Canis lupus familiaris: one gene and its partners. The protein of the gene in region 1 interacts with the protein of each later gene in a pairwise test. Links are inferred from orthologs where the notes say so. Each region holds a gene or a part of one and is shown in the gene's direction. Other genes may lie near its edges.

Evidence for each region. The genes of interacting proteins can lie anywhere in the genome.
Region 2: the proteins of CEP63 (region 1) and ARFIP2 interact in binary tests that used the Homo sapiens proteins (3 or more experiments, as listed by UniProt). The link is inferred for Canis lupus familiaris from reciprocal best matches to the Homo sapiens genes CEP63 and ARFIP2.
Region 3: the proteins of CEP63 (region 1) and PCNX4 interact in a two-hybrid assay, tested with the Homo sapiens proteins (2 studies listed by BioGRID and IntAct). The link is inferred for Canis lupus familiaris from reciprocal best matches to the Homo sapiens genes CEP63 and PCNX4.

Annotation. Positions count from the first base shown.
Region 1 is NC_049244.1:31,806,179-31,809,823, forward strand, and holds part of CEP63 (centrosomal protein of 63 kDa), read left to right. Parts: intron 1-990; coding exon 991-1,130; intron 1,131-1,960; coding exon 1,961-2,098; intron 2,099-3,645. UniProt on the Homo sapiens protein: Required for normal spindle assembly.
Region 2 is NC_049242.1:30,303,461-30,307,586, reverse strand, and holds the start of ARFIP2 (arfaptin-2), read left to right. Parts: upstream 1-1,258; 5' UTR 1,259-1,409; intron 1,410-2,167; 5' UTR 2,168-2,209; coding exon 2,210-2,308; intron 2,309-2,564; coding exon 2,565-2,661; intron 2,662-3,424; coding exon 3,425-3,543; intron 3,544-3,726; coding exon 3,727-3,948; intron 3,949-4,126. Other genes in the region: TIMM10B (mitochondrial import inner membrane translocase subunit Tim10 B), read right to left, coding at 483-659, 801-896, 1,072-1,116. UniProt on the Homo sapiens protein: Plays a role in constitutive metalloproteinase (MMP) secretion from the trans Golgi network. May have important functions during vesicle biogenesis at certain cargo subdomains, which could be predominantly utilized by secreted MMPs, such as MMP7 and MMP2.
Region 3 is NC_049229.1:35,488,313-35,492,572, forward strand, and holds the start of PCNX4 (pecanex-like protein 4), read left to right. Parts: upstream 1-1,392; 5' UTR 1,393-1,635; intron 1,636-4,260.

The DNA of each region.
Region 1 (3,645 bases):
AGTTCTATCAATTTTGGGTTTTTCACATAGGGTATCATATCATCTGTGAAGAGTGAGAGTGTGATATCTTCTTTGCCAGTTTAGATGCCTTTTATTTCTTTTTATTGTCTGATTGCTGAGGCTAGGACTTCCAGTACTGTGTTGGATAGTGGACATCCAGGCCATGTTCTTGGCCTTAGGGGAAAAGTTCTCAGTTTTTCCCCATGGAGAATGATATTCACCATGGGCTTTTCATATCATTGTGTTTTGATTTGTATTTCACTGATGCCGAGTGATGTTGAGCATTTTTTCATGTATCTGTTGGACATTTGTATGTCTTCTTTGGAGAAATGCCTGTTCATGTCTTCTGCCCATTTCTTGCCTGGATTTTTTGTTTTTTGGGTGTTGAGTTTGATAAATTCTTTATGGATTTGGGTTACTAGCCCTTTATTTAATAAGAGATTTGCAAATATTTTCCCCCATTCTGTAGGTTGCCTTTTAGTTTTGCTGTTTCCTTTGCTGTGCAAGCTCTTTATCTTGATGAAGTCCTTATAGTTCATATTTGTCTTTGTTTCCCTTGCCTTTGGAAATGTGTCTAGCAAAAGGTTACTGTGGCCAGGGTCAAAGAGGTTGCTGCTTGTGTTCTCTTCTAGGATTTTGATGGATTCTTGTCTCTCATTTAGGTCTTTTATCCATTTTGAGTCTATTTTTGTGTATGGCATAAGAAAGTGGTCCAGTTTCATTCTTCTATATGTGACTGTACAATTTTCCCAACACTGTTTGTTAACTAACTAGAATTTAAATAAGAACTTAAAAAAAATTAACCTAGAACCCAGTTCAAGAATCCATGGTTTCTTTTCTACTCTGTAGCTAATGGATCAGACATTGATAGCCTTATTAACAATAAGGGTTCTGTACCTTGTACCTGTTAGACTTGACTCCCTGGCTTCCTATTCTCATGAAATGGAAACATTGTAAATGACATCTGACTTTTTTCTGAGTATTTTTTAGATTCTGCAGGAAGAAAAGAGAGAATTAAAAGCAACTCTTCAGTCTCAAGAAAATTTCATGCATGAGGAAAGAATGCAAAAGGAGAAGCTACAAGCAAAGTTAAAGCCAGCTGACACTCAACACTCAGTAGAGGCCATAAGGTATATTTAATCTTAAATATTAATTGTAGCCACCTGGTGGTTTGGCATTGAGCACCAGTTTTAGTATTACATATTCATAATTTTGTGTTTGATCATGTTATGGGTTTTCTTATTCGGTTTTAATTTCTGAGTTAAATTTTTATGGTTTTATAAAATTTTGTGTGATTTGGGGGTTTTTTTTTTTTTGGCTCCAATTTGGGTCCCTAACCAAAAGACTGTAAAAATAGAAACCAGTTGGTCAAATCTATACCCTCGGTGAAACTTCAAATGTGAAAGGATTTGGAATCCATGTCTCGTGGAAGGTCTCTGTTTCTTGGTAGAATAGGTCATGATTAGTAACTGCTTATCAACATCATTAAAAACCAGCTATCGAAATGGCTAATTTTTAAAAAAATCCTAAAACACATTTTGTTCCTATGTGTGAATTATTTCCGTGAGGTTTGTAGTGGAAAGTAATAGAAGGAGCTATGCTCCTTTTGTTTGATTTAGGTCTGGTACGCGTTTCTATTCTTGCCAGAACTTTTCTGTAACTTTTCAGTTTCTTTGGCTCAAGGTATCGAGTGGAAACAAAAGTTTTGTCATTTTGTCTTTTTCCCTTGAAAAATGGGCCAAATCCTAGTTGAGAAAGGAGTAAACTGCTGCTGACTTTTTTGAGAAGCATCATTTCTTCAGCTCTTTAGTCTAAGTGTTCTTTTCATGAAGCAGGAGACAAGCTGAAGAGTTCCAAAGAGTTTCATTACCAAAAACAATAGGAAAATATGAACTAATTGTGCATTGTTTTATTTGCAAAGATCAGAGGCCTTTAACCATCCTCCTCTGTCCTTTTTTAGGTCACTGCAGGAGTCACAGACAGCACAGAGGTACACCTCACAAGGACAGGGGGACTTAGGCAATGTGCTGTCCCAGCTGGATTTCACCCACAGTAGTGAAGAACTTCTGCAGGCAGAAGTGACTCGTTTGGAAGGCAGGTAGATAATTACATGCCCATTTCAAGAATGTTCAAGTTGTTAAAAATTATTTTTGATCATCATATTGATAAAGTAAAGTAATGTAACAGTCTTAGGGAAGGGGTGCCTGGGTGTCTCATTGGTTAAGCATCTGACTTTTTTTTTTTTAAGATTTTATTTAGTTATTTATGAGAGACACAGAGAGAGAGAGGAAGAGACAAGGAAGAGACTCCTTGCAGGGAGCCCGTTATGGGACTTGATCCCAGGATTCCGGATCACGTCCTGAACCAAAGGCCAGATGCTCAACCACTGAGCCACCCAGGCTCCCAGCATCTGACTCTTGATTTTGGCTCAGGGTCATGAGATTGAGCCCTGAGTCAGGTTCTACATTCAGTGGAGAGTCTGCCTGTCCCTCTCCCTCTGCCCCTCTCCCCACTTGTGCACACTCACTCTGTCTCTTAAATAAATAAATAAAATCTTTGAAAAAAATAATCTTAGTAAAAAAATAAGTTTTTTTTTTTCTCTAGCATCCACAGATAAAACAGAAGCAATGAAAGGAGGGCTTCCTAATTTTTCTACCACCAAATCTACCAGTCTATCTGCATCTGTGCCCATAGTCTGTTAGAGTGGATGAGTTGATGATGGATGACATGTCTCTTCCCCTAAGACTTCACTCACGTCCTTTTGCACAGTTTTTTATTTTCTTTTTACATCATCAAGTTCTGCCTCACTGCTAAATCATTCCTACTGATATAAAGTAAGCTTTAATATTTCCCATATTGCAAAAAAATCGAAACCATCCTTGAATCCTATATCCCTATCAAATTATTTCCATATTTCTCTGCTCTCCTTCAAAATCAGATTCTTCAAAAGAGTTGTCTATACTGACTATATTAATTTTAATTTTACATTTTCCTGTGTAGAACATCTTCAGTTAGGCTCTGCCCTCTACCAGCCACCTCACTGGAGCTGCTCTCAGCAAAGCCATACCTGGCACATGGTGCTCCTTACTTCCATCCCAAAGTGCTGTCAATTATTTCCTTGGCTGCCGTTTGAATCCACATCTCTGCTATAGCATGCCCAGCTCACTTGCTTCGTCATCATACTTGTAAACTTCTGTTTTGTTTGTCATACCTCTAAACTTTGTGACTGGGAAGAGGTTGATATTTTGTTTTAAATGCGAATTGTGCTCATTTGTATACTAACATTTTCTATATGTAAAAGGTTTAAAAATATATGAATTATTAGCCTTTAGACAACAAAAATATTGCCATTTTACCCTTTCAAGTTTATCTTTAGGTGATACTTTTTTTTACTTTTTATTTCTGTTTTTGGAAATCATCAGATATTTTCTTTACATATTAAATACTATGCACACACATAGTTTTTGCTTTATTTGTTCTGTACCTTAGAATACTTAAGATATTCTTGGTTATCGTTATTGAGGTGGATATATGCACTTTATATTGAATAAAATAAAGTTTATTATTCTTTCTTTTGAGAGAGAGAGAGCATGAGCAAGGGAAGGTGGGATATGGAGGGCAGAAGGAGAAGGAGAATCTTAAGCA
Region 2 (4,126 bases), on another chromosome or scaffold:
TCAGCCATTGAGCGTCTGCTTTTGGCTCAGGGTAGGATCCTGGGGTTCTGGGATCAAGTCCGGCATCGGGCTCCCCACAGGGAGCCTCTGCTTCTCCCTCTGCCTATGTCTCTGCCGCTCTCTGTGTGTCTCGTGAATAAATAAACTCTTTACAAAAGAAAAAATTGTACCCACAGGCCTTGTTTTAACCAGGTGCCAGGAAATGTTGAGGTTTTCCTTCTACACATAGAAGCCAATTTCTCCACTGCCAGGGCTGAAGCCAACAGATATGCGCTGACAGGATAAAGGATGGGGCCAATAAAGCGGGCAAAGCTTCCGTGCCCAGAACATAAATCAAACAGTGCAAAAGTGGGTTTATTGGCTCCAAGAAAAGGAGCAATACTACCCAGCTGTCAGACAACCCCTCACTCTATATATGGGCTGCATCCAGCCCAAGGTCCACTGGCTCCTTCAGTTTGAGGGTCCATCCAGCGCCTCCCTTCCTAGCTGCCTGATGGTGAGGTTCCGGGCTGTTCTGCAGCAACACCTGGCCCAGCTGAGGCAGCCTCGTAGTCTGCGATGCGGCGCTGTACCAGAGCCGGCATGAGCTGCACGTAAGCGGCCATGAGGCGGTGGTTGGAATGGATCAGCTTCCCAGCACAGCTGTGCAGACAGGCCTCCTGGAAGGAAGACAGGGTGAAGCATTGGTGTCCACTGGTGTCCGTCCCATCCCTGGCCCAGGGGCAAGGGTCATGGAAAGGCCCGGGCCAGAGGTAGGGGCGGTGGAGGTTGGGGACAGTCTACGGCGAACCCCACCTAACCTCTTCAGCGTCCAGAGCTCGGTGGTGCAAGCTGGGCACGCAGCGCTGGAAGCAGAGTTCCGTCATCCGATTGTAGACCAACAGGAAGTCCCGCAACTAGGAGAGAAGGGGACAAAGAGCCCAGCGATAAGGGGGCACCTCGAGGCCGCGCCCTCGAGGTTTCCCAGGACGGCGCGCCAGAGCGCGACGTTCCCAACCCTCCGCCCTCCAGCCAAACGGACGAAGATGCCAGCTGAACTGATGGCCCCGTCGCGACTTAGCACCCACTCACGTTCCTCAGCTGCTGCTGCTGCTGCTGCTGCTGCTGCGGCTCCATCGCGCCACCGGCGCACGCACGTCACTTCCGCACAGCCTCTTGGTAACGCCCCGGAAGTGACCTCTCCTGGCTCCCCGGGGACTGAGGGGTTGCCTCAAGGATCGCCCCGCCCCTGGCTTTAACGTCATCTCCGCCCTTATAGTCTGCGACGTGGCCGGCTTCTTCTGCCCGGGAGGGGACGTCACTTCCGCCGAGTCCCTGACCTGCTGCTAGGATCGCGACGGGAACTGGAGCCCGAGGTCCCCGCGCGGCCCGGGCCTGGCGCCCTGAGGGGAAGAGCGGCCCGGCCCGAGGTGAGAAGGACATACTTGGGCAAGGGGAAGTTGAATGCACGAGCCTGCCCCGAGGGAAAGATGCTACAGAGCCCTGGGGAAGGATGAGGACACACCTGATGCCCAGGTGTGGGGTGGGGGGGGGGCGGGGACTAACACACCTGGGGGACATAACTGACTTTGGAAGGGATCACTATGTGCTGGGAAAATGTGGCTTTTCCCAGAGGCCAAGAACGGACACCAACTGATTCAACTAGGGCCTGCAGGGGGAGGGCTGCAGGAGGAGGGGGTGCATGGGATGGAGGAGGGAGAGACCACCTGAAGGAAAGGGGAAGCAACCCTAAGGGAGTGTGAGAGGCCAAGCAATGGAGAACATACCAGAGCGGGAGGAGTAGGCTCCTGAGCCCTGGAAAGGGGTTAATCTGATGGGAGGAAACAGCTGCATGGGGGTAAGTTCCAAAACAGCACAGACTTTCTCTCCCTTGGCCACTGCTGTGACCTCAAATAGTAGTCTGTTGAATGGTTGAACGCATGAGTGATCACCTGAGTCCTGGTGGGGTTGGGGGTCCGTGAGAAGATACTGGGGACCTGGGTGTGCATGTGGAAAGATACACACCCTGGAGGGGAGAAATACATATCTACGAGAAGAAAGGAGTGGTGGCCGAACCCCAGGATACTCAAGTCTTGGGACAACCTCTAAAATCTCTGAAATGGTGGGGGAGACTTTTCTTTCGGGAGTACTGGCTAGTTTCCAGAACTGTCTGTGTTGGGCTTTGCAGGGCGCTGGGGTGGAGACTTTGACTCCAATCCCTTCCCTAGCCATGACGGACGGGATCCTAGGGAAGGCAGCCACAATGGAGATCCCCATCCACGGGAACGGTGAAGCCGGGCAGCTTCCTGAGGATGATGGGCTGGAGCAGGTGCTTCTGTTTGATTCTTCTCCATATTGTTTCAATTTAGGAGTCCAAAATCATAAGCCCTGGGCTCTCACCCCATTCCAGGAGTTTTCCCCTAACTTATCTAACTCCCTCCAATCTTTACATATCTTCATTCTGATTCTATGCAGACTTCCCTTGTGTGCTCTCTCTGTGATGCTTCAATCCAAGCTTGTTCTCACCCCCCAAATGCTTCAGCTGCCCCAATGTTCCTGAAGCCCCCCTCTTCTCTGGCCTATAGGACCTCCAGCAGGTGATGGTGTCAGGACCCAACCTCAATGAAACCAGCATTGTGTCTGGTGGCTATGGGGGCTCTGGTGATGGACTCATCCCCACAGGTATGAATGATCAGAACAGGACAGGAAGCTTGAATGGACAGAGGGAGTGGAATGGTTCTGGGGAGTATAGGATATGCCTAAGATAGCTTGAACTATGTCTGGAGATTTTGGGAACTCTTGCTAGTACAAGCCCAATGGACTCTACTCAGCCCAAGGCTAGAGCCTAGGGCTGTCCAACTGCTCCCGCTTGCCATTTAGCCCTGAGATGTGTCCATTTGTCCTTTCTTTGCTGCCACCACCTGAATCACATTACGAACTGTTTTGCAGAAGTTCTCCTGCTTTGGAGCTTGAGACTTATTTGGAACTCTGAAGCTTCTCAAAGTTTTGCTTCAGATTCTCAAGTTTAGAGAAGCAAATAGCCCTGAATTTCACACTGACTAGGATTCCACATGAGAACGTCAATGAGATTTCCTATTGTCAGGAACCCACCATCCTTGACCTGCCACCCAATACTCAGCATATTTTCTTCTGTTTTCTCTGCCCCTGTACATCAGCAACTCCCTCCCTCCCCCCACTCCAGCCCCCATCACCATCTCAGGAGGAGGCCAGATATATATTGGGATTTGGGTTTCAGGGCACAAGGTATGAGTTCTTCCTAGTGAGTAGGAGAATTTCTAGTTTCTGCTACTTCAGAGAAGTCATTTTCATGGTGGGAAGTCGGTGGAAAGTCATTTCATAGTGGGGTCGGTGGGAAGTATGGGTGGAGCCACAGAGATGTCTGGTTATATCAGAGAGGCTGGTGTCAAAGAACTTGGTTCTTTAGGGTCTGGCCGCCATCCATCTCACAGTACCACTCCTGCTGGCCCGGGAGATGAGGTGGCTCGGGGCATCGCTGGAGAAAAGTTTGACATCGTCAAGAAATGGGGCATCAACACATATAAGGTGGGATTTAAGCACCTTTCCCTTTCCCCTTCCCCAGACTTCCCCTGGGTACCTTTTCCCCATCTTCCAGATTCCACTCTCCCATCCTTGTCTGAGACGAGGAGCCTTGGGATGCTAGGGTAGATACCTGTTGGGGGGGCAGGGTGCTAGGGTCTCTGACCTATTCCCCCACTTCCCAATCAGTGCACAAAGCAGCTGTTATCAGAGCGATTTGGCCGAGGCTCCCGGACTGTGGACCTGGAGCTAGAGCTGCAGATTGAGTTGCTGCGTGAGACGAAGCGCAAGTATGAGAGTGTCCTGCAGCTGGGCCGGGCACTGACAGCCCACCTCTACAGCCTGCTGCAGACCCAGCATGCACTAGGTGACGCCTTTGCTGACCTCAGCCAGAAGTCCCCAGAGCTTCAGGTGCCTTGGTCAGGCCAAAGAGGGTGGGGGGACTGGGCCCGGGCCCTCCCAGGCAGTCAGCCCTCAGCCTCCCTCCCTCCCTCCTGCAGCCCAGAGGGAGAACCCCTCCAGGGTAGGCCCAGCCCTACCCCCAGCAGCACTCACCTGTGGAGGCAGCCTAAGGGTTTGTACAGAGGTT
Region 3 (4,260 bases), on another chromosome or scaffold:
CTGCATAGGGAGGCAGCCCAGGTGGCTCAGCGGTTTAGCTCCACCTTCAGCCCAGGGCGTGACCCTGGAGACCCGGGATCGAGTCCTATGTTGGGCTCCCTGCATGGAGCCTGCTTCTCCCTCTGCCTATGTCTCTGCCTCTCTCTCTCTCTCTCTCTGAATAAATAAACGTAAAAAAGAAAAAAAAATGCACAGGGTTGTCTTCCACACACGTAAAATAAACTACACTTTCCCTCTGAATAGAGTAGTATCTTTTGTATATAGGTATCTATATCTATAGAGTAGTACCTTTTACATATATTTATATCTATATATAAAAGAATGCTTTGGCTTTCTTTTCATATTAGCACAAAAAGTCGTCCTATTATGGCCTGAAAACCTAGATATTTAAGAACTAAGACATCATCTCCAGGAAAGCCAGAAAACAAACAAAGGCTGCATTTACAGCCTTGAGGTTAAAGAGACCCAAACAAGGCCGTCCTGGAGCGCTCAGGAGTCCCAAGTAGGCACAACTGCTAGAGTGTCAATCACTTAGGGAAACCCAAGTACCTCAATACTGACAAATGGGCTTCAGAGTTCCCTCAAAGAGCCTCTAAATCACTGGAGACCAATGAACCAGTTTAACGCTCTAAGGGGCCGCCTCGTGGGCTTCCAACTGGCAATCTGGAAGATGTCCAGAACACGGGCAAGGACTCTAACTCCATTGGGCGTGTAACTTTAAACCAGCAAAACTGGGACTGGGACTGGGACTCTGTGGCCACCCTGTAGAGACTCCCGCATCTTAAACTGCCTCTAAGTACAACAGTCCGCCACGGGGTTTGGTTTTGTTATTGTTTTGTTCCGATTAGGATACGGGGGGGGGGGGGGGCAGGGGGGGCTTTGCCTTATTAAACAGACGCCTCCTTAGTGGCAATGACGCAGTGAAGGACACCGCTGGCACATCGACTCAGCTCCAATCTTCCAAGCCGAAGAGGACGTAGGAAGCGGCCCTTAAAAGCAAGCATCACCCGCGGCGAGCGGCGGAGGGACAGGCAAAGCGCGGACGCGGTTAGCGGAAGTCGGCGGGCAGACCCCCGGGAAGCCAAAGCTCGCGAAATGGCGGCCGCACGCACGTCAATCGGCCGGAAAGCGCCACCCGCCCCTCGGACACGTCACGTCACCAGGGAAACGGCGCTCTTGCGTAGGGGCGGGGCTCCGGGTGAAAGTGCACGGCTGAGGCTGAGCCCCTTCTCTCTCGTCCGGGTGGAGGCCTCGCGGCCCCGGGGGCGGCCGGAACTCGAGAGGCTCCCGCCGCCCGCAGTCGCGGGTTGAGGAGGGAGCGTGGGCCTCTCCCGCCAGCCCCGCCTCGCCCCGCCCAGCCGCCGAGCGGGGAAGCGCCCCTGAGGCGAGCGCAAGCCGAGGGGCGGGGCGAGCCCTCGGCGGCGGCGGAGCGCGCGGGAGTTGACGTTAGCCATGGAAACGCGGAGCGGGCTCCGGAGCGAGCGCGGGGAGCTGGCGGCGCGGCCGCCCGCGCTTCTCCGCCTCCGCGTTCGGGTCGCAGGGAGCCTCCGGGCGGCGTCGCCCACCCCGGGTTTACCTGCAGAAATGCAGTTCCCGGGATTCCTTCGCCTCGCCTCTTCCCTCGGGTGACTCGAGGTACGTTTGATTCCCCGTCACCCACCTGGGGACTTCTTGCCCACCTTGATTTCCAAGCCCGTGCAGAGCTACGCGTTTCTTTGCAGTTTTGATTCCCACAGATTTCCTCGTTCTTCGTTATACGACCTTTAAGTGCGGTTATTGCGCTTTTTAGACAGAAGGTGAACTCAGTGGCTGGAGGAATCTATACAGTGGGACTTTAACTTTCTTTCGAACGAGTGCTGTAGCCCGTTGAGTTGCCGCGTTTTGTTTCTAAGAGATGCTTGCGAAATGGACAATGGCCCATTGCGTCTTGATTTAGTGATGTCCTTGTTATTCTCAATAAAGTTTGTGAATTGCGTCCCTAGGGTAATACTGCGCTCATTCCTTACCTCCAGCTAAACCACTTTTGCCCAAACGTAGTCAGCTTCTGGCCCCTTGAACATGAATGACCATCTGCTGGTCTCTTCACAACCCTATCAAGGACCAGCGTTTACTTCAGTGAAATCTGCAGCAACAGAGGTTGTTTATCAGACCTGTGGAGTGATTATCTGGGTGGGTTTTTTTTTTTTTAAGATTTTATTTTATTTATTCACGAGAGACACAGAGAGAGAGAGAGAGAGAGGGGCAGAGACACAGGCAGAGGGAGAAGCAGGCTCCATGCAGGGAGCCCGACGTGGGACTCGATCCCGGGTCTCCAGGGTCACTCCCTGGGCTGAAGGCGGCGCTAAACCGCTGCGCTTCGCGGGCTACCCTGATTATTTGTTCTTTACCAACCATTTCTCTTTTATTCAACTATATAATGTTAGGTGAGGGTTTTTTTTTTTTTTTTAAATCATTCTTACGATTAGGGTAAAGGCTATCCTTTATATTATTGAGTGTCCACTGCCACCCATGCCAAATCTCCAAACCTTTATCGTAACATCCAGAGCCAGACTCATGACCAGAGATACTGCCATTTTAATAATTTAACTGGGGATCCCTGGGTGGCGCAGCGGTTTGGCGCCTGCCTTTGGCCCAGGGCGCGATCCTGGAGACCCGGGATCGAATCCCACGTCGGGCTCCCGGTGCGTGGAGCCTGCTTCTCCCTCTGCCTATGTCTCTGCCTCTCTCTCTCTCTCTCTGTGACTATCATAAATAAATAAAAATTTAAAAAAATATATTTAATAATTTAACTGAGACATCTGTCAGCCACTCTTAAGTTTCCTTCGAGTTATTAGACAAGACCTGGTTGGGGAACTTATCTGTTTTTTTTTTTTCTTTTGTTAAGAACTTTGTTGAAATATAATTCACATTCCGTATAATTCACTCATTAAAAGTGAAGTCACTCATTAAAAGTGTACATTACACATTTTTGGATGTATTAAACATTTTTAAAAGTGTACAGTTGTTTTTAGTATATTCAGAGAATTGTGCAGTTATAACTACAGTTAATTTTAGAACATTTCATCCCCCTTCAAAAAAGCCCTGTACCCTTTAGGATTATTCCCTCCCGTCTTTGTCACTATCTCCTCCAGCCTTAGGCAAACATTAACCTGTTCTTTTGTCTTTATAGATTTGCATGTTCCACACATTTCATATAAATGAAAGCAGACAACATCAACATGTGGCCCTTTGTGATTGTCTTCTTCCACTTAGCATTCAGTTTTCAAGGTTCATCCATGTTGTAGCATATGTCAGGACTTCATACTTGTTTGTAGCCTAATAATATTCCGTCGAGTGGATTTATTACATTTTATTCATCTGTTAGTGGACGTTTCGGGTGTTTCCACTTCTTGACTATTCATATTTTTGCTGTGAATGTTCCTATACAGATTTTTGTGTAGTCTTATATTCTTATTTTTCTTAGGTGAATACCCAGGAATAGAATTGCTAGGTCATATGGTAACTCTAAGTTTAGCCTTTTTAGGAACTGCCAGACTAGTTTTGAAGGCAGCTGGGCCATTTTAGCTTGCGACTTGCGGGTTCTATTTTTTCCACAATCTCAACAATACTTGTTATTGTCCATCTTTTTCATAACCAGTCAAGTGGGTTTGAAGTGATAACTCATGGATTTGGTTTGCATTTCTCTTTTCTGATGTGGAGCATTGTCTTGTGTGATTATTGGCTATTTGTATATTATCTTTGGAGAAATGTCTATTTTAATCCTTTAAAGTGACTTGTTTTTTTCACCATTGAGTTATAAGGGTTCCTTATATATTCTAGGTGTAAGTCCCATATCATATATGTGATTTGCAAAATGTTTCTTTCCATTCTATGGGTTGTTTTCATTTTCTTAATAGTGAGAACCTTTTTCTTCTAGACACTTTCCCACTTGTTAACTCTTGTTGAGTCTTGCTTGCATGCCAGTGTCGTCATGCCGGCTTAGCTGACAAAAGTTTCCCATTTGACATTTTGGAGATTCCTCTTAGGCCTTCTTTTCCCTGAAAACTCTTTCTCTCAAATTACCTTCTATTTTTTCTAGCCTCAAAAAATAAAATTCCCTTTCATTTGTCAATGACTTAGTATGACTGAAAAACTCAGGCACCAACTGACGTGGTGTGTTGGTTAAGTCACTTAATTTCACTGGTTCTCAGTTTTCTGTTAAGTAAGTTGGTTTACTTCTAGTACTCCATGTGAATGGTAGACTTCATTTACCTGATACTT